5 linked regions of the Neurospora crassa OR74A genome follow. The protein of the gene in region 2 purifies or fractionates together with the protein of the main gene of each other region. This does not show direct contact. Links are inferred from orthologs where the notes say so. Each region holds a gene or a part of one and is shown on either strand. Other genes may lie near its edges. The genes, in order: NCU00417, NCU02572, NCU06921, NCU11357 and NCU01184.

The links.
Region 1: the proteins of NCU02572 (region 2) and NCU00417 purify together in Schizosaccharomyces pombe (affinity purification with mass spectrometry; 3 studies listed by BioGRID, with this or other methods). This does not show direct contact. The link is inferred for Neurospora crassa OR74A from reciprocal best matches to the Schizosaccharomyces pombe genes cwf10 and cwf14.
Region 3: the proteins of NCU02572 (region 2) and NCU06921 purify together in Schizosaccharomyces pombe (affinity purification with mass spectrometry; 3 studies listed by BioGRID, with this or other methods). This does not show direct contact. The link is inferred for Neurospora crassa OR74A from reciprocal best matches to the Schizosaccharomyces pombe genes cwf10 and prp17.
Region 4: the proteins of NCU02572 (region 2) and NCU11357 purify together in Schizosaccharomyces pombe (affinity purification with mass spectrometry; 3 studies listed by BioGRID, with this or other methods). This does not show direct contact. The link is inferred for Neurospora crassa OR74A from reciprocal best matches to the Schizosaccharomyces pombe genes cwf10 and prp19.
Region 5: the proteins of NCU02572 (region 2) and NCU01184 purify together in Schizosaccharomyces pombe (affinity purification with mass spectrometry; 3 studies listed by BioGRID, with this or other methods). This does not show direct contact. The link is inferred for Neurospora crassa OR74A from reciprocal best matches to the Schizosaccharomyces pombe genes cwf10 and cwf2.

What each region holds. Positions count from the first base shown.
Region 1 is NC_026503.1:3,780,416-3,783,383, forward strand, and holds NCU00417 (cell cycle control protein cwf14), read right to left. Parts: upstream 1,508-2,968; 5' UTR 1,369-1,507; coding exon 922-1,368; 3' UTR 599-921; exon of another isoform or gene 528-598; 3' UTR 504-527; downstream 1-503. Other genes in the region: NCU00416 (C2H2 type zinc finger domain-containing protein), read left to right, coding at 19-492; nuo14.8 (NADH:ubiquinone oxidoreductase 14.8kD subunit), read left to right, coding at 1,741-1,864, 1,918-1,979, 2,115-2,261, 2,496-2,606, 2,691-2,702; NCU00419 (DNA-directed RNA polymerase I and III polypeptide), read right to left, coding at 2,959-2,968. UniProt on the Schizosaccharomyces pombe protein: Involved in mRNA splicing where it associates with cdc5 and the other cwf proteins as part of the spliceosome.
Region 2 is NC_026501.1:2,767,215-2,771,329, reverse strand, and holds the start of NCU02572 (U5 small nuclear ribonucleoprotein component), read right to left. Parts: upstream 2,803-4,115; 5' UTR 2,594-2,802; coding exon 2,556-2,593; intron 2,396-2,555; coding exon 130-2,395; intron 12-129; coding exon 1-11. Other genes in the region: NCU02571 (acetyl-CoA acetyltransferase), read left to right, coding at 3,508-3,575, 3,677-3,726, 3,801-3,876, 3,971-4,115. UniProt on the Schizosaccharomyces pombe protein: Component of the U5 snRNP complex required for pre-mRNA splicing. Binds GTP.
Region 3 is NC_026507.1:771,749-775,723, forward strand, and holds NCU06921 (mRNA splicing factor), read right to left. Parts: upstream 2,727-3,975; 5' UTR 2,560-2,726; coding exon 1,307-2,559; intron 1,229-1,306; coding exon 850-1,228; 3' UTR 511-849; downstream 1-510. Other genes in the region: NCU06922 (endosomal cargo receptor), read right to left, coding at 3,792-3,884, 3,970-3,975.
Region 4 is NC_026503.1:540,496-544,518, reverse strand, and holds NCU11357 (cell cycle control protein), read right to left. Parts: upstream 2,669-4,023; 5' UTR 2,541-2,668; coding exon 2,528-2,540; intron 2,472-2,527; coding exon 2,427-2,471; intron 2,296-2,426; coding exon 1,851-2,295; intron 1,790-1,850; coding exon 1,332-1,789; intron 1,275-1,331; coding exon 799-1,274; 3' UTR 509-798; downstream 1-508. Other genes in the region: NCU11356 (phenazine biosynthesis PhzC/PhzF protein), read right to left, coding at 2,925-3,941. UniProt on the Schizosaccharomyces pombe protein: Probable ubiquitin-protein ligase involved in pre-mRNA splicing. May also function in DNA repair.
Region 5 is NC_026505.1:3,161,331-3,165,460, reverse strand, and holds NCU01184 (pre-mRNA splicing factor cwc2), read right to left. Parts: upstream 2,802-4,130; 5' UTR 2,612-2,801; coding exon 1,919-2,611; intron 1,856-1,918; coding exon 1,301-1,855; 3' UTR 1,032-1,300; downstream 1-1,031. Other genes in the region: NCU01185 (urease accessory protein UreF), read left to right, coding at 1-27, 133-1,031; NCU01183 (GTP-binding protein 1), read left to right, coding at 3,186-3,214, 3,295-3,323, 3,390-3,404, 3,468-3,492, 3,552-3,983, 4,053-4,130. UniProt on the Schizosaccharomyces pombe protein: Involved in the first step of pre-mRNA splicing. Required for cell growth and cell cycle control. Plays a role in the levels of the U1, U4, U5 and U6 snRNAs and the maintenance of the U4/U6 snRNA complex.

The sequences.
Region 1 (2,968 bases), on a different chromosome or scaffold from region 2:
CACTAACGAACGTTCCAGTACTCCTGCTTCGTGGAAGGTTGCGAAAGGAAATGCATGACCCCCCAAAAGCGACGGATGCATCTCATTGATAAGCACATGTACCCAAAGAATTTCTTCTTCGCGGTGACACTGCACGGTATTGACGGGCGGCAGTCGATGTTGTTGGATGAACGGCGGCCGAAACAGAAACGGGTCCACAAGCCATCGGCAGCGGAAACACATGCCAGCTCTTCCGACCCAAAGGTCAACTCCAAGTCAAAGCCTCCATCAGAAATGAAGGAGCGGATGGAAGTAGATCGGCCCGAGCCCACTCCAACATCGACGAAACCCGATGCTGAGATGACAGACCAACCGCACGAGGAGGCCGTTGAGGAGCCGGCTGACGTGGATATGGGAGACTTGGTAGGCAAGATGTCTGCACTGCAGTTCGTACCCTCCAGTGTCAGATTTGGTCGTGGTCGTGGAGGAAAGACTGGATTCGCCAAAAGGTGACAACAGAGGAAGTGCAAAAACGAGATGTGGTAAGGCTTGGGCAAACCAATTCCATTAGTACTGGGCAGCTGAAACATATTATTGCACATCTGTAGCGAGAACATACTGATACGGTCCTCACATTCCATGATATCATGACATAACGTGTTCGTATGTTTGTTCAATCTGCTCCCTCAACAGTAAGCGTCAAACATAGCTCTGCAAAGGAGAAAGCATCTTATCTTACCCTCTCCCCGTGAACGCCTCTTCCCTCTCCCGATGCGTGCTCGACAAAGAGATGTTGTTGGTATCATTATCGCGGCGCTGAACAGCCGTTCGTCGGCCCCTGGCTTCTCATTGTTTCTCCACCACATCTCAGCCTTGAAAAAAGTTGCTTGTCCCTGCCGTCCCTTTTCAATTTTATAACCTCAAATCCGTGCCTCCTCCTCTTCAATCACCAGTAGCACACCCTCTGCACCCACAGCTCACGCACTGCACATCCTGGCCCTCCTTCAGCTCGGCCTTGGGCACGCGGCAGATGCACGTCGAGTTGAAGTTGGTCTCCTTGGTCTGTATGCAGCGCAGGCAGCAGAGCTTCTCGTAGCCGTTCTTCTTCCACTTGGCGATCAGCATCGCGTCCGCGTATCCATTCTTGAGCAGCCACTCGTACAGCTGCTTGCTGATGGCCTCTTTTTCGTAGTAGAGCTCATAGATGTACCGGCTCCGCTGGTGCGAGATCTGGAAGATAGGCCATTTGGCCTGGTGCTTGGGTATGTTGTCCGTCGGGGCGTTCTGTGCGTCCTTCATCTTGTTGGCGAAGATGAGCAGATCCTCCTCAATGTCGGCAAAACCCTCTGGGGGCGGCTTGCGCTTCGAGGCGGGGCGAATGGCTGGCATTTTGAGGTCGTCGCTGGTCCTCGGCCTCGGGATTTAGTAAGCGGTGCTTTAAGTAACGTGTTTTGCGTTGCGCTAACGTATATACTCGGAAGAGTATCGGAGTGTGTGGTGATATCGCAATTGTTCGGTTGAAGGATGGAGAACTTCAAATCTAATGAGCTGACCAGAGGAGAGTGCTGTGATCCCCGGCGTAAGTGCAGTGAACTGGCTCAAAATTGCCTGCCAGAAACGCCTTGGAATTGTGGCGCCAACGTCATTGGCCTCTTGTAGTTGTGGCTAGTGCTATCAGCGCCCGCACTCTGTGTGTAAGAGCAACTGTGGCTTAGCTGGATGCTACCGACCCCGAGCCGACTGCTGAAGCTACAAGCTGTCATGCGAACGACGAATCGACCGACCCTGGCGAACGGAACGGCGACAACCTCCAAAGGTCCTCAAGTCACGAATTGGCCCAAAATGCCCATCACACCTACCAAGTACGCCATCACCACCAGGCAGTGTAAGTGACCCCAGTTGTACAAGCTGAACGAGTAACTCTGACGGACATTGTAGCGGCAAACTGGAGCGACGCCAAGCGGAGGGTGTTCGCCCTTTATCGGCGATGGCTTCGTTCGGTACGTTACGAGCGAACCTACATAGAACGAGCATTTCCAGCTTTCGACGAACACGTTGGATATCGACGTATATAATGGGAGGAGTGCGAACAATCCCGACCGAGGATTCGCTAACCAGGATATCACATACAACAGACACCCGAGATGCAGTCTATGTACTCACTACCCCTCCCCATTTCGGTCATTCGCACTCGCATCAGGCAGGAATTCGAGCGCAACCGCTTCGTTAACAAGTTGCCCGTGGTGGATGTTCTGCTCACAAAGGGCCATGCCGACTATCAAGTAAGGCTCCACTTCATCGTCACTATCCACACGGACATGAATCAGGGGATCCCCAGAAACGGGCACAGCAGTGGGGTCATGTCCAAAATCTGGAGAACACCCAAAAAGAAGAGGGAAAGGGTTCCAGGCAAGGGGTCAGAAGGGAATATCAGAGCGCTGGCGCATGTTATGCGTCGCGGCGATTCGGACTGATTGTTCTGGTAACTTGACGCTGACTCTCCACGCGTCTATCAGGAAACCATGAACTTTTGGCGCCAGACGACTCACATGATGTCGTACTTCAACGAGGAGAGCTTCCGTGGAGCCAAGAGACTTCCCTCCAGCTTTATCGATGGCTTCCTGCAGGTAAGCCTATACATGCAGCTCTTTTGTCTTTGATGATGGCCACTTCATTGTGCGGGTAGCTCACAATACTCTTCTTTCATCTAGGGTCGCAACTAAGAAGAGTAATAACGAAGGGTATCAATGTCAGCCTTTCCTCTAGAGCCTATGTATATAACGCAAGCCAGATGAACATCCATGGACGCAGCCGCTTGTTCTTTTATCTTCCCCCCTTATCTTGATGGCCACTCACAGCGAGTTTTCCTTTGTCTATTTTTTGTTCCCCCTTGTGATTTACTACCAATTCAAGCCCCAAAACGCCGTTACCCATGCTGGTGAAAATTAACGATGAAAAGAAAGGTGAGAAACAAGAGGCTTAGGCAGAC
Region 2 (4,115 bases):
TTCTTGTCAACCTGTTCATCGTGTTAGTAGCCCGGAAGTAAGAGACGGCCCGGTTTCGACGATCACCGCAAAAACCTGGGTAGAACGGCAACTGGTGTCCCGAGCATGGGAAAGGAACTCGCAACTGACCTCTGATGGTAAGGTGTCATCCTGCAAGATGTTGGGTCCCATCTCGTCTGGACCGAAAGCCCAGATACTCCTGGCTGCAAGGAGATCCCAGCCATACTTCTCCTCGAAAAATTTGGCGATCTTTCGTACAGGATCCCGAATCCTGACCGCTCCGGACTCAATGTCCTGCGCGATACCATCCTCCAATGGCTCCGCCACCATTGTAATGGTGTTCTTCTTATTGGGGGTAATGGCGTAGCATTTGGTTGCGGACATGTCCTGTACCGTCTCGCAGAATCGAACCACAGGATCCGATACCCTGATCTCCATATCGGCATATAGACGACGTAGGTCATGCAACACGCAGTCCATGTATAGCTCGCCAGTACCAACAATAATATGCTCTCCCGATTCCTCTACCTTGGTGGTAATGAGGGGGTAGCTCTTGTTGATTTTCCTGATGCCGTCAAGCATCTTGGGTAGTTCAGACGGATTGATGGGCTCGACAGCAACCTTAACGACGGACTGGGTGAAGTGCGAAATAGGTTTGAAGATGTAGGCGTCCTCATCATCCTCAAATTTCTTCTCCACAATAGTGGCAGTCTTCACGATCGAGTTGTCCACGCCGCCCAACAGAACCCAGTTACCAGCGGGCACGCCGTCGGTTGGGATGTTGTATCGTGTTTCGGCAATGAAGACATCGGATATCCTCCCCATGGCCATATCTTCTTCGTCGTCGATAGAATAACCCTCGCCAAGCACGCGGACCTCTGTGCCAGGGCGCGCAATACCGCTCATCACACGGCCAAACGAATAGAAGCTCTTCGCATCGGGAGCACTGAACAGCTTGGACACATACAACACAAGCGGGCCATTTTGGTCGCAGTTCAGCATAGACTCAGCAACCTTGCTGTCCAGAGGGCCTGTGTAGTACTGTTCGAGCTTTTGCTTTGCAGCCTCAGCCGGCGATGGGATATGCTGACAGACCATGTCTACGAACCCGGTAGATGGCCCAAAGAACTGCTCGCAAACCAATTTCAACAAGACCTTGGGGTCAGTCTTGTACTGCGATGGCTTGAGCTGAATGCCCAACTTTTTCAAGGTACCCTTCAGTTCTTCCGGACTTTCGCTAATCGTATGCGAGTACAACTTGTAAATCGGCTCCATGATGAAGTTGACAAAGGACCTCTTAGCTCCTTCTTCGATGGGTTTCCTTGTGAAACTTCGCTTTTGCGGGTTAAAGTAGATGTCTCCCCAGAGGCGCCTCGCAAACTCTTCCGAGTTGACACCACCATACGTGTCCGAGTACATCTTGGCGAATGACTGAAGAGTGAAACACCAGCCCATGGACGTGCAGGCAAACAGAACATTTCCTCTCTCTGGACTTAACCTCCTCTCCTCACCTCGGCCTGGAATTGTGTTCTCAATGACAGTGTTGACTTCTTCGATCACATGCTTAAGTTTGTAATAGGCATCGTTTGGCGGCAACTTGAGCTCGAGAATTAACCGGTCCATCTTGTTGACAATGAGGGTGAGTGGGATGTTCTCCAAAACGGCGTGCTTGATGATCTGTTCTGTGTTGACCTGAACCCCCTCCACGACATCGACCACCAAACAGACACCATCCACAAGCCTGAGCGAAGCCGCAACTTCGTCAACAAAGTCCACATGACCTGGCGTATCGATCATGTTGAAGAGATGTGATTTTCCTTTTGTTCCTTGGAGGACCAGGCTCATGGGCGAAGCCTTGATGGATAACCCACGTTCCCGCTCGAGGATGTGAATGTCTGTGTACCGCAGCTGCTCGTCGCGCTTCTTTCCCGTTCGCTTCTCAAGTTTGTCCGCAATGTCGTGCGTCTCTAACACCAACATATCCATGAATGCTGTCTTTCCGTGGTGTAGATGTCCAGCAAAAGCCACGTTACGGATTTGTTCGGGGAAGTTCATGAGATCGGCCATGAACGTGCGGTCAAAGTATACGGGAGGTAGGTCTGCTTCTTCGATGCTGAACTTTTTTTGCTCGACAGGGGCGATGATCGGCTGTGTTAACGGTTGCGCATCCTCCTCTTGAACCAAAATTTCGACGCCCTCGCCATAGACCTGTGCGGCTGTCGGGTAGTACTGCTTGTCTTCGTGGAGAACAACGGCGTTGGAGGGGCCTTCATCGTCAACTTCCATCATCTCCTGAGCCGGAGCTTCTGGGGCTTCCTCTGGGTAATCATCGTAAACGTAGTTTCCAGCGTCGACACCATGTTCAGACTCTTCCTCGGAGGCTTCAGCATCTCCGCTACGAATCAATGGTTAGCACCGCCGAAGGAGAGAGCATCATAAAGTAAGCAAGATTGGACATTAGCCTCAAAAAGACGATGGAGTCTTGACCAAAACACAGCCCAGACAGACCATCCTTCTGCAACGTGACGACGTCATGGAGATAGCATGATACGTACATGAAGTTTCCGAACTCGTCGTACAAATCGTCGTCCATCGTGTATCGTCGATGATAATTGAGCGTTACTCCAAAGCCGCTTTGTCTCGAAAAGGGTAGCTGTCGCGTTGTTGAGCAATGGGAGTTCAGAGATCTTGACTGGAACGTTTGCTGGATTTTCGTCGCTGTCTTTGCGCAAGGCTGATGTCAACCAGTGAACTCTCGCCGCGGCGCGCAGTGGACCAAGCTTCAACCGTGTAGCGCTAAACTTGGAGGTCCCTTGCAACTAATGAAAAAATGGCAGACTTCATTTAAATGGTAGAGACTAGTGTTTTAGCAATGTGGCGCTAGCTTCGGCATCGACCACAGGAAGTGGCTGGTGCGCAGATCTACTGCTCAACATTATCAGATCATCTGATAAAATCTTTGCTCGCAATGATGGCACCACGGGTCCACGGCAGACATGCAAGCAGATTCCCGCAGCGGACCACGTCAGAAACCATCCAGGCCATCGCGGTGCCCCTCAGGGTTCTAACACTCCATAAACCCCCACAACTGCCCCTTGCCCAAGCTGCCACATCCTAGTCTATAAAGACGGGTTCAAGAGGTATCATGGGAAGAGAGCCAGTTGCCGCCGGCATCGGACACCTCACACCACTTTGTCAAAGTCTGCGAGGGTCCATTTCTCTTATTCCTGAAGATCGGCACTTTTCCGGATAAAGACTGATAAGACCTCGCGTTGAAGGCGGTGAGAAGACCTGAGGTGACAGCTACAAGGTCCCCGTCGTCTCAACAATTTCCCCTATCCTGTCCCGCGTCCAAAAGACAATCCTGGTAGTCACGGGCTGAGCTTTATTAGAACAACGCTTCCCACATCTTCACTGTTCTTACCTGGCTTCACCCGCTTTCATTCCATAATCTTTAATTCCAAAACCCGTCTTTTTCCTCAACTCCAAGCTTCCAAACTAGCCATCATGTCTACCGGTCTTCCCTCCGTCTACATCGTTTCTGCCGCCAGAACCCCTGTGGGGTCCTTCCTTGGGTAAGCTACCCCGCCATGTCGGCTGACCTGGAGCTGTTGTCAGAACGATACAGGAGGGACGAAGCGTGAACTTCGCGTTGCTGATATCTCTGAACTTGTAGTCAGCTTTCCAGCCTCTCTGCTGTTCAGCTCGGTGCCCATGCCATCAAGTGTACGTCGGTTAGAACCGGTTTCGAGAGGAGTATTAGATGAAACGTGTCCTTAGCTAACCACTCCTGTTTCTAGCTGCCGTTGACCGCGTTCCCGAAATCAAGGCCGAGGATGTTGAGGAGGTCTTCTTTGGCAATGTCCTCTCTGCTGGGTACGTAGCCATAGATTCCTTTGTGCGCAGCGAACGCGCCGCCGCGACTCGACCCTGGAACAGCACAATACTAACCACATGTCTTTATCCTCAGTGTCGGTCAGGCTCCTGCCCGCCAGTGCGCCCTGAAGGCCGGTCTCTCGAACAAGGTGGTTGCCACCACCGTCAACAAGGTGTGCGCTTCCGGCATGAAGGCCATCATCCTTGGCGCCCAGACCATCATGACTGGCAATGCAGAC
Region 3 (3,975 bases), on a different chromosome or scaffold from region 2:
TCGAACTCATTTTGTCCTTTTATCTTTCTTTCTTTCTCTTTAAGTTACGTAGTAGATAGAAACTACCCCCTCGTTCTTTACGAAAGGAGGTATTTTGGTTTTGATGAGAATCCTTTGGCGGTGTTTTTTTTTTCTTCCAAAGCGGGTGGCACTATGAGCCAACCACACACACCCACGGGTATGAGGAAGATGCGCAAAACAATGACTCCGACAATGGTGTTATAGCTGCAGAAGAACCGGAATTGCATGAAGGGTACAAGTAAACTTGAGCGGTGCGGTGCACAAGATGATAGATAATGTTCATTTGAATAACCAGCGGCAGCGAGGGTAACATAACCAGACCAATATGAACAGCCGAATAATCCAAAGACACTTGGCTGCAGTGTAACGTTCATGGTTTCTTGGGAAGTAAGCCTCGACGCCGTGATGTAGAGGGGATAGTCGTCGGCACTTCGATTGATTACAACAAAGATACTCGGTCGACCAGCCACTGTCATATTTTCAGTGCACGTCCAGTATATAGTTCAATCGACTGAGTCAAGACGAATTAAGTCCGGGAATGGATGATCAATATCGGCTGTTCGCCGGTGTCTTGATTGGTGTCTGCTGCTGCTCCAAAATCAAGTCTTTGCACTTGAAAAGCCAGTCCAATCCCATTAGTACCGAAATGTTTCTCCCAACGCCAAGCAATGCTGTAAATATCTTTTTCCGGTCGCTCGTTCTTTGCCTGCTTTCACCTGAGACGCGACGCTCCAATCTTCTTCCTCTATCGTCATCCCTGAGGACAGCCATCAAAATCCCTCAGCAATGGCCCAATTTCACACAATGACCCACGAGACCGGACAGTGTCTAATCCCACATCCTAATCTCACCCTTCGCCCCCGCCGTAAACACCTTACTCGTCTCCTGCTCCGACCAAGCCACACAGTTGATCGCCCCCCCGCTCGTGTCCGCGTGGATCTTGTGGTACATCTTGCACGTCTTCCAGTCCCAGAAGCAGACGTATCCTCCGGTATCGCCCGAAGCGACAAACTGCCCGTCGGGACTGCAGACCAGCCCGATGCCGGAGCCGGCGGTGTTGTGGCCGCGCCAGGACTTCTTGCGGTTTTGGCGGAACTTGTCCGAGGCCGATGAGTAGGCGACGATGGAGTTGTCGGAGCATTGGTAGAGGACGTATTTGCCCGAGGGGTGCTGGGTGGATTTGGTGAGGGCGAACATGTCGGGTTCACTAGAGAAAATGTTAGCATGTGATTACTTTTGGTAAGGAGAATAAAAATGGGAGGAAGAAAAAAAAGAGAAGACATACCTGATAGTCTTGATCTCGACTGGAATTCCATACTCCCATACTCTCAACGAGCGGTCATCTGACGTCGACATGAACCGCCTGTTCTCGTCCACGAATTCGAGGGTGTTGATGGCGCCCAAGTGGTGATCGTACTCCTGCACTGGATCCGCTCCCGCACGACTGTCGTATTGCACAATCCTGTTATCCGACAAGCCCGCCAAGAACTCGTGACCCTGATCCACCGACGGGTTGAACTTGATGACATGCGGTGTCTTGCCCGTGTTGAACCTGTTGACACATTGTCCCGTCTCTGTGTCCCACAACTTGATCCATCTGTCGAACGAGCCCGATAGGAACTTGGTGCCGTCTCTGTTAAACGACAAGTCGGTGATAGCCTTCGAATGGCCCGCATACGTCCGCAACAGCTCGCGATTGCGATAGACATCGAAGATCTTGATGGTGCTGTCCGTGCTGCCCGACAGACCCAAGTGACTTGACTTGGGAAACAACTGCAACGCCGTGATCGGCTTGCCGGCATGGTGCCTCCATGTATGCATGTGCTTCTTGGGGATGAAGTTCGTGACGCTCCCGACGTCCTTGGTGAGACTGATATCCAGATCCTGCGGGACGTGCATGTATGTCCGGCCAAGGTAATCGAATTCCTCGGTGCCATGGAACGTCGTCGTCTCCGCGCCCTGCTCTTCCACCTCTTTCCTGCGCGCCAGGTTCTTCGTCGGCGCCTTGACGACCGTCCCGCTCTCTACCACGTCTTCCTCTTCCTCCCCTTCTTCTTCTTCGACAATCTCATATTCCTCACCACTCCCCAGCTCCTCTTCATTCACCTCCTCATATTCCTGCTTCTTGTACCGCGCCCATGGCCCGACGTAGGCCCCATCGCCATCCGCAATCGTCGCGCTTCCTTTCCCCTCTCTCTGTTGCCTCAGCTTTGCAGCCGCCGCCTTCTTGGCAGTACTCCCCAATTGTTCGCGCGCGGGACCACCGCCGCGCTCGATGGCGCGGTGCTTGGAGCGAAAAGTGTGTTCGCTGATGTAAGTCTCGGCCGCAGTACCGGTCAGGACGTTCTTCCTCTTGGTGCCGACCGCAGTGGAAGTCGAGTCGGTATCGTCACGGAAGGGGTTGGCGGGCCCGAGTCGCGGTCGGCTTAGATCCTCGCCGGTGTAGGGGACAACGGCATGGTCTGGTTCGGCGACTTGGCGGACGATGAGGGCGTCTTTGACTGACAGGTTTGCTGGGTATTCATTGAAGTCGGCCATGGCTATTTGGATTATGTTTAGTTCTGCTGCGGCTTGATGAAATTGTGGTGATGGTATGCTCGCCAGCCGCACGCTTGATGAACCTGAAAATGTTTTTTTTGTTTTGTTGTTTTTGTTGTTTTGGAGATGAAGATGGGATGCGACCCTCTTGGAGTCGTTGGCGGCAGGCCGGGCGCATTGGTTGACGTCTGGAACAGTGGAACTCAAATTCAGAGTGGAGCTTCTACGATATACGCGCGCACGGGCCATATACCACCCACTTACCGGGTTGCTGTCGCACTCTGGTTGAGCAAGGACCAAGCTTTGGAGCTGAGACTCAGCTTGCTTGTGAGGGAGGGGCTGACAATGATCAGCGTTGAGCCAAGCTCTATTGTTTCTGGCTTGCCTCTCTACTATGCAGTACAAAGAGTGTTCAATGACCCGAATATTCGGTTCCATCTTGGTAGGACGACAACAGCTTGCTAAGAGAGTACATATTCCAACAACGCGCCCAATGTCTATGGATCAAAAAGTCATGTTCGTGGTTCTCCATATGTGGCCCGCGTTGCCTTCCCTCGGTGTTGACATTTGACAAGACAGCAACAGACCATGATCTTCATGACGTAGCCCGTCCCGTTTCATTACATACTTTAGGAAGCAGTAAAATACAGCACGCGATTTCTCCCTCTCCTCACCTGCGTACACCCAATTGGTACCGCTGAAGAGGTCGTAAACTCTTTTTCATCATTTCCTTTTGCCCCGTCTATCCAGCTGTCATGCCAACCGAGGCGTACAGCAAGGCAGTTGCCACCTTCCCGAAGCCCGTCAGTCGCTTTTCCTCTTCATTATAGAAGCCAAGACCATACAATTCGTCCTCCTCTTCTCCCGCCATCCAATAATATAATCATTCCCGCCATCTCTTCATAGCTTCGTGCCCTCCCATGCCATCTGTCAAAGTCGTCGTATGTTACGCTCATGAACCCTTCCCGTCCTTTTGCAGCATCCGTCGCCGAGGATCCTGCCTGCCTGCTTGCTTGCCTGTCGTTGTACTGTATATATTTTTTGTTTGTGTGTGTTTGAAGTACTGCGTACCAGTGTGCCCAGCGCCGTTATGTACTTTCGAGAAAACGGTGGTGGTAAAGATGCGAGCACGAGCTCCGATGAGAGAGCTCCGCGTCCGATCCGACGGACTTTGTGGCGGTATCGTTGTGAAACGAGAAGTCCAGTTCAACTTAGCGAGCGACGGCCATTTCCTAATGAGCCTCGTCCCGAATGAGGGCCACAATCATGCTGTACAAGTAAAAGAAGAACAGAATGAGATGGAAGCCGAGCTTAGTGAAAGATTCCTAGAGAGCGCGCAGATCGGTTAGAAGCAGTTCTTGAAGCTCCACCACAGCGGACGCGGTTGGTTGTGTTGAGCTGATGACATACCTTCTT
Region 4 (4,023 bases), on a different chromosome or scaffold from region 2:
AAACTAACCGAGTTTCTACGGTACCTAGGTAACCGGCACGGGGGAAGTCGTTCGTTGTGCTTGTTTTCTAAAACTGAAGCACAAGGTCATTCATCAACACCTCGGTTGGTGTCTTTCACAAGTTCCTATGGTGACTTGACGTTGACCATGCTTAATGTGCCTCTGTTAGTACCTTAGCAGTACTGCGGGCAAGAAGAGCCTGTTACAACGCTGCATCCTTAACAGTCAGACATAGGGGTCCAATTGTACACTACCTTACCTGCATCCCGATTCGGGCATTCAGGAACAAACAGCTGTCAGCCTATCAGGTTGCACTATCCCCTGTTCTCGTCGTGAGCTCTTTCAGGGTCTGATGATGGACCGTGATATGGAAGCTGTTGGAACGCAGGCACTGCCAAAGTTGAGATCACGAAATACGGAGGTGAAGCCATACAACAGTATCACCGCAGAATTTCCCCGTTTTGCTTCGGTATCATCAGAAGTGAAGACTTCAAGACAGATATGCTCTTTAAAACAACATGCTCCCGCCGCTCAAGTCTACACTAGACCTGTTCATCAAATATCTTTTTCACGCTCGAGTCCAGATAAACCAATGAATTACTTTATAAGCTCTTTATGTTTTGCGTCATACTGGGCAGACCGGTATTGAGCCCTCTCATCAGGAGCTAACGCCTACCAATAAACCCCGATCTCCCCTTTCGCTCCTCTAGCCCATCACTTTAATCTTCTTTGGTCTTCCAAAGCCAACCCCACCTAGACCGTCTCCGAGTCCGACTTTTCGTATTTTCCAATGCGATCCTACTCGCTCTTCGGCTCCAACACCGAAACTACGCCCTCTTTGCTGACAGCCACCAACTGCCTCGCCTTGTCTCCCCACTGCACCGCCACAGCCGGCGTGCTTGTCCTCAACGGCTCCGTCCACGACTTGCTAGCCTTGACATACTGCTGCACCGTAACGCCCTGCGATCCGGCAGTGGCGAGGTACTGACCCGTGTAATCCCAGGCAAGGCCGGAGACGTCACCGGTTTGGAGCTCCTTGGCCCGCGCGGCGTCGCCTTCCTTGCGCAGGTCGAAGATGGTGACAGAGGACTGGCCGACGCCCGTAGCGGCGAACCAGAAGCCGTTTTCGGAGAAGACGAGGGTCTTGACGGGGGCGCCGAGGGTGAAGTTGGCCATGCGCTGGAGAGTCTTGGTGTCGAAGATCTCGATCTGGCCGGATTGCGTGCCGGCGGCGAAGAGGTGGCCGTCGGGGTGGAAGGCGCAGGATGTGAGTTCTGTTTGTTCATATTAGTAACTTGAGACTGTGAGGCGGGTGGTGAAAGGGTACATACCAGCGTCAGTATAGACACGCGCTACACGCTGCAGCGACTGCAAATCGTAAAAGATGATGCCCTTATCCACGCCCACAGAAGCAAGAATCTGCTCGCCAGGGTGCACCGCCAAGCCCGTCACGGCACCGGCGTGCTCCGTAACAGAACCAGTCTCGACACCGCCCTCAACAGCCTTGACACTGCCCTTCGAAGTGGCCGAGACGACCTTGTTGCCGATCCACACCGTAGCAGTCACCGGCTCGCCAACCTCCAAAGAGCGTTCGTGTGCCTTGGCCTCAACCGAGTAGAGATCCACCTTGCCGTCCAATCCACCAACCGCCGCATAACCACCGTTGAGAGCGAGCGAGGTCGCTTGTGTGACGGGGAGATCTGTGTAGGCGGTTTGTTGCAGAGCGGAAATGTCTTCTGTGGTGGCCCAGCCTTCGGGGACTGGTCGCTTCTTGCGGCCCTTTTGCTTTCTGTAGATCGGTGAATTGTCAGCATTCAACTTTTCGAGATGACGGAGCGCGGTAAACGTACTCGGCCTGAACCTCATCAACATGTGCAGCCAACGCCTCGGGCAGACCCTCGCTGTCTACCGCCATAGCGTCACCAGTTGCGGCACCGCCAGCAGAAGCCGTAACTGTGAGTCTGGAAAGGGCCTCGCGGGCCTCATCACGCTCCTTGGTCAAGCGAGCAATCACGCGAACGGCGGCATCGTTCTGGTAGAGCGCCGTGGCCAATTCCTCCCTTGTCCTCGCCAGTTGTTGCCTCGTGTTGTATGACTCTAGTACCAGGGCGTCCCACTCGTCTTGGAAGGCCTTGAGCATGGATGGGAGGGATGTGAATTGCGGGGGGCGGGGGCGGACGATCCGATTTGTCTTGATGGGGAGGAGGTCTTCGACGTCTAGCTCTTCATCGGTGCCGGGTTCTTTGTGGTTCTCTTGGATGTACTTTTCGATCAATCGCTTCTCGAAGACGGCGCCTGGGATGTGTTAGTATGGCATCGCATTTCGGCCTGTCGTGGAAGCATCTGGTGTGGCTTGGTGGGAACAGAAGCGGTGGGAATGGTGGGATCTCGGTGATGGTGACAACAATGACGAAGAGTGCGCGTACCGGTCTTTCTCGAGACAACAGGCTCCTCGGGAACCTCTCCGGATACTGCGTCAATCGGTTAGCACAGCGTCGCGCAACGGTAGATTAGAGCTGTGACATACGGGCGCAAAGCATCTTGATAATATGACTGCAATGCAAAATCTGTAAAATGGGTTGTTTGGTTCAAGTCGCGATGTCAATGTCGTCCTCCAACTTTTTTGTTGCAACGCGCCACGGCCAGCCAGCTAGCACAGACAGCAGGCAGGCGACGGCCTGGAGCTGGACGACGCTAGAGGTACTTGGAGGTTTGGCGGCAGGCAGAGAACCATCTGCCAAGCTTGAGCCACACCGAGCCGCATACTACGGTAAGTGACCAATCATGTTGCATAAATGACTATGGACGTTTGGGAGGTACTTTGGCAATGTATCTTTTACTCGTCATTTTCGACTCAACACCATGCCACTTCTCACAACATCTACAATGTAGACAGCATCACATTCAACTCAATAGCAAATCCACTACACATAGATACTTCCCTTCGTAACCACCACCGCCGTCCCTCCCAGATACAAATCCTTCACCTTCGCCTCCCCATTCTCCCCCTCCACCGCCGTCGTCTCCACCTCAATCTCACTCTGCCTCCCCATCTCCACGCCCTGCGTCAACTCAAACCTCGCCCCTCCCATCTCCCTCCCACTAACCGTCAAATAGCTCGCCAGCGTACACGCCGCACTACCCGTCGCCGGATCTTCAAATCCCAACTCCACCATCCTCGTCCTAAACTTGAACTCCTTCCTCCCATTTTCACTCTCTTTCTCCCTCTCCATCGGCACATAATAATACCTGGACACAAACCCGCGCTCCCACTCCCCCTTATCCAACAACCCCTCCACCTTACTAAAATCCAGCCTTTTCGCCGTCGACACCTTCGCCAAATGTTCCAAACTCGGCAGTTTTACCAACAAAAACGTCATTCCCCGCACGATACTAACTACCGGGCCATTTAACTCCGCTTGTCTTATCTCTGGGTCCTCGGACAGCGCAGCCTCAATCATCTCCCTTGTCTCCTTCTTCACCTCCCCTCCCTTTCCATCCAGAATCCCGCCCAACGTCTGCTTATGAATACGCACAGCATGCGGAATCGTAGCCTTCACCCTTCCTTCGGACGTCGGTCTGATCGTAATCGGTCCGGCCTTGGTAACAAGCGTGTCCACATGCTTCCACCCCAAATGGTTTAGCACGAGGTACGCCGTTCCGACAGTGGGATGTCCGGCAAAGGGAAGTTCTTCCTCGATGGTGAAGATGTCGATTTCCCGACTGGTGGAAGTCAAGCCATCGCGCGCTTCGTCGTCGAGCGTGTGCAGAAAGACGGTCTCGGAGAAGTTGAATTCGCGGGCGATGAGCTGTTTGACGTCTTGGGTGAGATGAGAACGAAAAGAGGCGGGGGTGAGGACTACGGCTAGGGGGTTGCCTAGGTAGCGGGTGGAGGTGAAGACGTCGACGGTTAGGTAGGTGAGGGTGATGGGCTGGGCCATCTTGGATGTTTTGGTGCGGGAGGTGCCGCTGTCTCCGGATGAGATGGTGAGAGAGTGAGTGAGGTGGGACTGATGGCTCGTA
Region 5 (4,130 bases), on a different chromosome or scaffold from region 2:
AAGAGTCCAATCTTGGGGTGATACCAGGTGAGTTGCACCTTGTTCTACCCTTCCCTTTCTTTTCTTGTACTCGACTCCATCGATCAAGACTCTCATCATAACACAAAACCCTCACTAACACAAACCCTCCAGTCCCCTCCCCGTCCCAAACCATCCTCCACTCCACAGCCAACCACTTCCTCCTCCTCCTTTCCGACTCCGCGCTGCCTCTCGGATCCTTCGCCTTCAGCAGCGGTCTCGAATCCTACCTCGCCCACAACAAATCTTCTCCTTCCCCTTCGCATTCTACATCAATTGTCACTAACAAACCACCCAAAACCAAACTTCCACCACCCTCCTTCACCTCTTTCCTCCCCCTCTCCCTCTCCTCCTACGCGTCCACCACGCTCCCCTACGTCCTCGCCGCCCACCGCGACCCAGCCCAGCTCGCCCTGCTAGACGACACCCTCGACGCAACCATCGTCTGCACCGTCGGCCGTCGAGCATCGGTCGCCCAGGGCCGAGCGCTGCTTTCCATCTGGGACCGCTCTCTGTCCTCGTCGCTACCGCCTTCGTCTACTTCTGCCGAAGCGGCGGCTGCAATTCTCAAGCCTTTCTCGGCTTTGCTTAGATCTGCAGGGGCGCCACCACCGTCTTCCACCACCACCACCACCACCAGCAGCAGCAGCAATCCATCGACATCGGGCGGAGGAAGAAGTAGCGGGTGGAACGACCCTCCACCCGTCTCCGCCCACCTCCCGCCCCTCTTCGGCGCCATCTGCGCCCTCGTCGGGCTCTCGCTCGAGCAGACAGCTTACGTTTATTTACTTAGCCACGTGAAGGCGCTGGTGAGCGCGGCGGTGAGGGCGGGCATGTTTGGCCCCTACCAGGCGCAGAAGACGCTGGCGAGCAGGCAGGTGCAGGAGATGATTGGGGCGTTGATGAAGAGGGAGTGGGAGAGAGGCGTGGAGGAGGCGGGGCAGAGCGTGCCGGTTATGGATTTGTGGATTGGTAGGCATGAGGTTCTTTATTCGAGGATTTTCAACAGTTGAGTTGGGGAGGGGAGGACTGGGGGGACGGCACCGGGAGTTGAGGGTGAAAAGGGGTACATGGGCGAATTGTGATTGGGAAATGGTTTTTGTTTACTTGGAAAAGGGGGCGGAGGAGTCAAAGCATGGCCACAAATCTGTATGGCACATGTTCAAACGCTCTTAACTTGGTATCTTATTATTTCCTAGGCCAAAAATGGCATCTATGCACTGGCTCCTGCTGCCTCATTCTCTTATCATCATTACCAAAATAACTTCTTCCCAGTTATGTCTCAGTCGCTGTCATCGTCACTACCATAAGCCACCAGCGGTCCCGCCGAGACAGGTGCTTTCGGTTTTGCCGCAACTGCAACTCTAGCAGACTGTAGCGCAGCAAGCGTGCTACCAGACAAGATCCCACCGGAACTCTGTTGTTGTTCCTGAGGATATGCCTCTTCCTCCTGCTCCTGTCCCCATCCTCCAGCCTCCCCAGCTTCGAGCATGAGCAGTTGCTGATCCTCCAGCTCGTACCCTTCGCGACCCCTTGGGTTGACCGCATTCTTTCCCCGGGCAAAGTGTACCTCGTCTGGCGCCTCGTATCCTTCCAGGCCGTAACTGCTCTCGATCTTCCTCCGTTTCCGCGCCTCTGGGTCTTTGCCCTCGATCTCGGCAACATACGCGGCAGGCAGCGCCCGTCGAATGGCTTCGGCGGCTTGCTCCTCGATGCGTCTTGCCTCGCGTTTCTGCGCCATGGGGTTGGGATCCGCTGTCGCCCAGCGAACGTTGAGAATCTCGTTATGGTCTAGTGACTGGTGGGCCATTGCTTCCTTGGCGAATTGGGCGTTTGCCTGTAACCAGCGAATTAGTACCGAGTTCAACATCCAAGCAAAATGCTAGCAACCGTGGCTTACCTCATTTGAATAAGTGACGAACGCCACACCTCTCGTGTTGAGCACACGTATTCTTTCTATTTGGCCCCATTCGGCAAAGTGACGGGCCACGATCTCCTCAATGTCCTCCGTCACGTGGATTCTACCAATATAAATTGTCCGGTTTTGCCTGCTAAAGCTGCCCACACCGCCCATGTCGTCACGATAGTCGCTGAATTTGTCGCGCCCAAAACAGTCCACATTGGGGTTGAAAATGTCGTGGATTGTAGGTAGTCGATGGAGGTACTCGCAATCCTGGCCCTTGGGACAGACGCCCCTCGCAAAAAACAGACAAAAGAACGATCCTGCTACTCCGTCGGCGCGCGTGTATCCAGTGTCCAAGGCGATATTACATCTTCCCTTTGCGTGTGTTTGGGATAGGTATTTGTCTTCGCGATCGCCACCGGACCACTTATTGTACCAGATGTTGAACGTTGTTCCTGTCTGCGGGGGCGGCTCGGATTTGACTAGCGCCGGGTCGATTTGAGGTCGCGCCGGTCTCTTCTTGCGCCGGATGATCTTTTTGACCTTCTTCTCTGTTGGGGCGGCGACTTCGGTGTTCGTTGTGGTGAGAGCAAGCTCCTGTGTCTGCGCGTCTGTCGCGTCTTCTCCGGCTTGCGCTTGTTCAATTACGGCGGAGACAGGCTCCTCTTGCCTGGTATCGACTTCGGCCATGGTATGTCGGATTGGGATTCCAGATGTGATTTGGTTCGAAAGCAAGTATCGGTACTCAGTTGGCCTTTGGTTGCGCGTCTTGTTGCCAGGGTAGAAAGAGGATAGCGGATACGTATGCTGCAAATGCGATGACAAGTGGAAAAAGACAATGACGCCGAATTTGGTTTACGATTTGTTGTCTAGGCCAAACTCGCAGAGCACAGACTCTTTTCCGAGATTCCAGGGGTGTTGGACTTTTGGAGAATTTCCAAGCCTGGGCCGACCTTGGCTGACAGAGACCCACTCCGCTCCCGCAGATTTTATGGGTCTTCCAAAAGCGGTGAAGGACAAAACCCACTTCTGCTGCCCCTCCTGTCCGGGAAATTCTGCCACTTGGGAACGTGGGGTGCGCACTGATATGTTTGACATTACTGTTCCTTACAGCGTGTAATTCATCAACCTTGAATTTCACTTTCAGGGCCGATTCACTTCTCATCAGCTTGCCAGCCTGGTGTTTACCTCGAGTTATATCGCTTCAGTCTTTGTTTCTTTTGTAAAAGCGATACCAAGGACAGACCTGTCCTAAACCGCCAAGATGGTGAACATTACGGAAAAGATCAAGGAGTAAGCTGCACCATTGACGCTTCCACGGTGCCTGCGTGTTCGACTTGATGGAGTTAGTCAAACTGACCATAAGATACAAGGATTGAGGAGGAGATGAGGAAAACCCAGAGTAAGACCACGTCCCTATGCAAACAAATTGACTGAAAGCCATGAACGCTAACATAAGTTTTAACAGAGAACAAGGCAACTGGTACGCTCTTTATCACCTGTCTCCAACATCATTCATGTGCTGACCTGGTGAAACCAAACTAAGAATATCATCTGGGTCTCTTGAAGGGGTAAGTGAGTCTACACCAAGCGATCCTTGATATTGACTCTCACTAACGCCCATCCACAGAAAGCTCGCTCGTCTCCGCGCTCAACTACTCGAGCCAGGGCCGGGCTCGGGCGGCGGTCCAGGTGCCGGTTTCGACGTCAGCAAAAGTGGTGATGCTCGTATAGCACTGGTCGGCTTCCCGTCAGTCGGTAAATCCACGTTCTTATCCAAGGTCACCAAGACCAAGTCCGAAGTCGCCTCATACGCTTTCACGACCCTGACAGCCATTCCCGGTGTGCTCGAATATGGCGGTGCCGAAATCCAGCTGCTCGATTTGCCCGGTATCATCGAGGGTGCCTCCGAGGGCAAGGGTAGAGGAAGACAGGTCATTTCCGCCGCCAAGACAAGCGATCTGATTCTTATGGTTTTGGACGCCACAAAACGTGCTGAGCAGAGGGCCCTCCTCGAGGCCGAGTTGGAGGCTGTAGGCATCAGACTCAACCGGGAGCCACCGTACGCCCCCTTTTCCCTTCCCATGTTACTTTTCTACCGACGCTAACGATATAATCCCCCTTTGCCTAGAAACATCTACCTCAAACCCAAAAAGGCCGGCGGCATGAAGATCACCTTCCAGACGCCGCCCAAGAACGGGCTGGACGA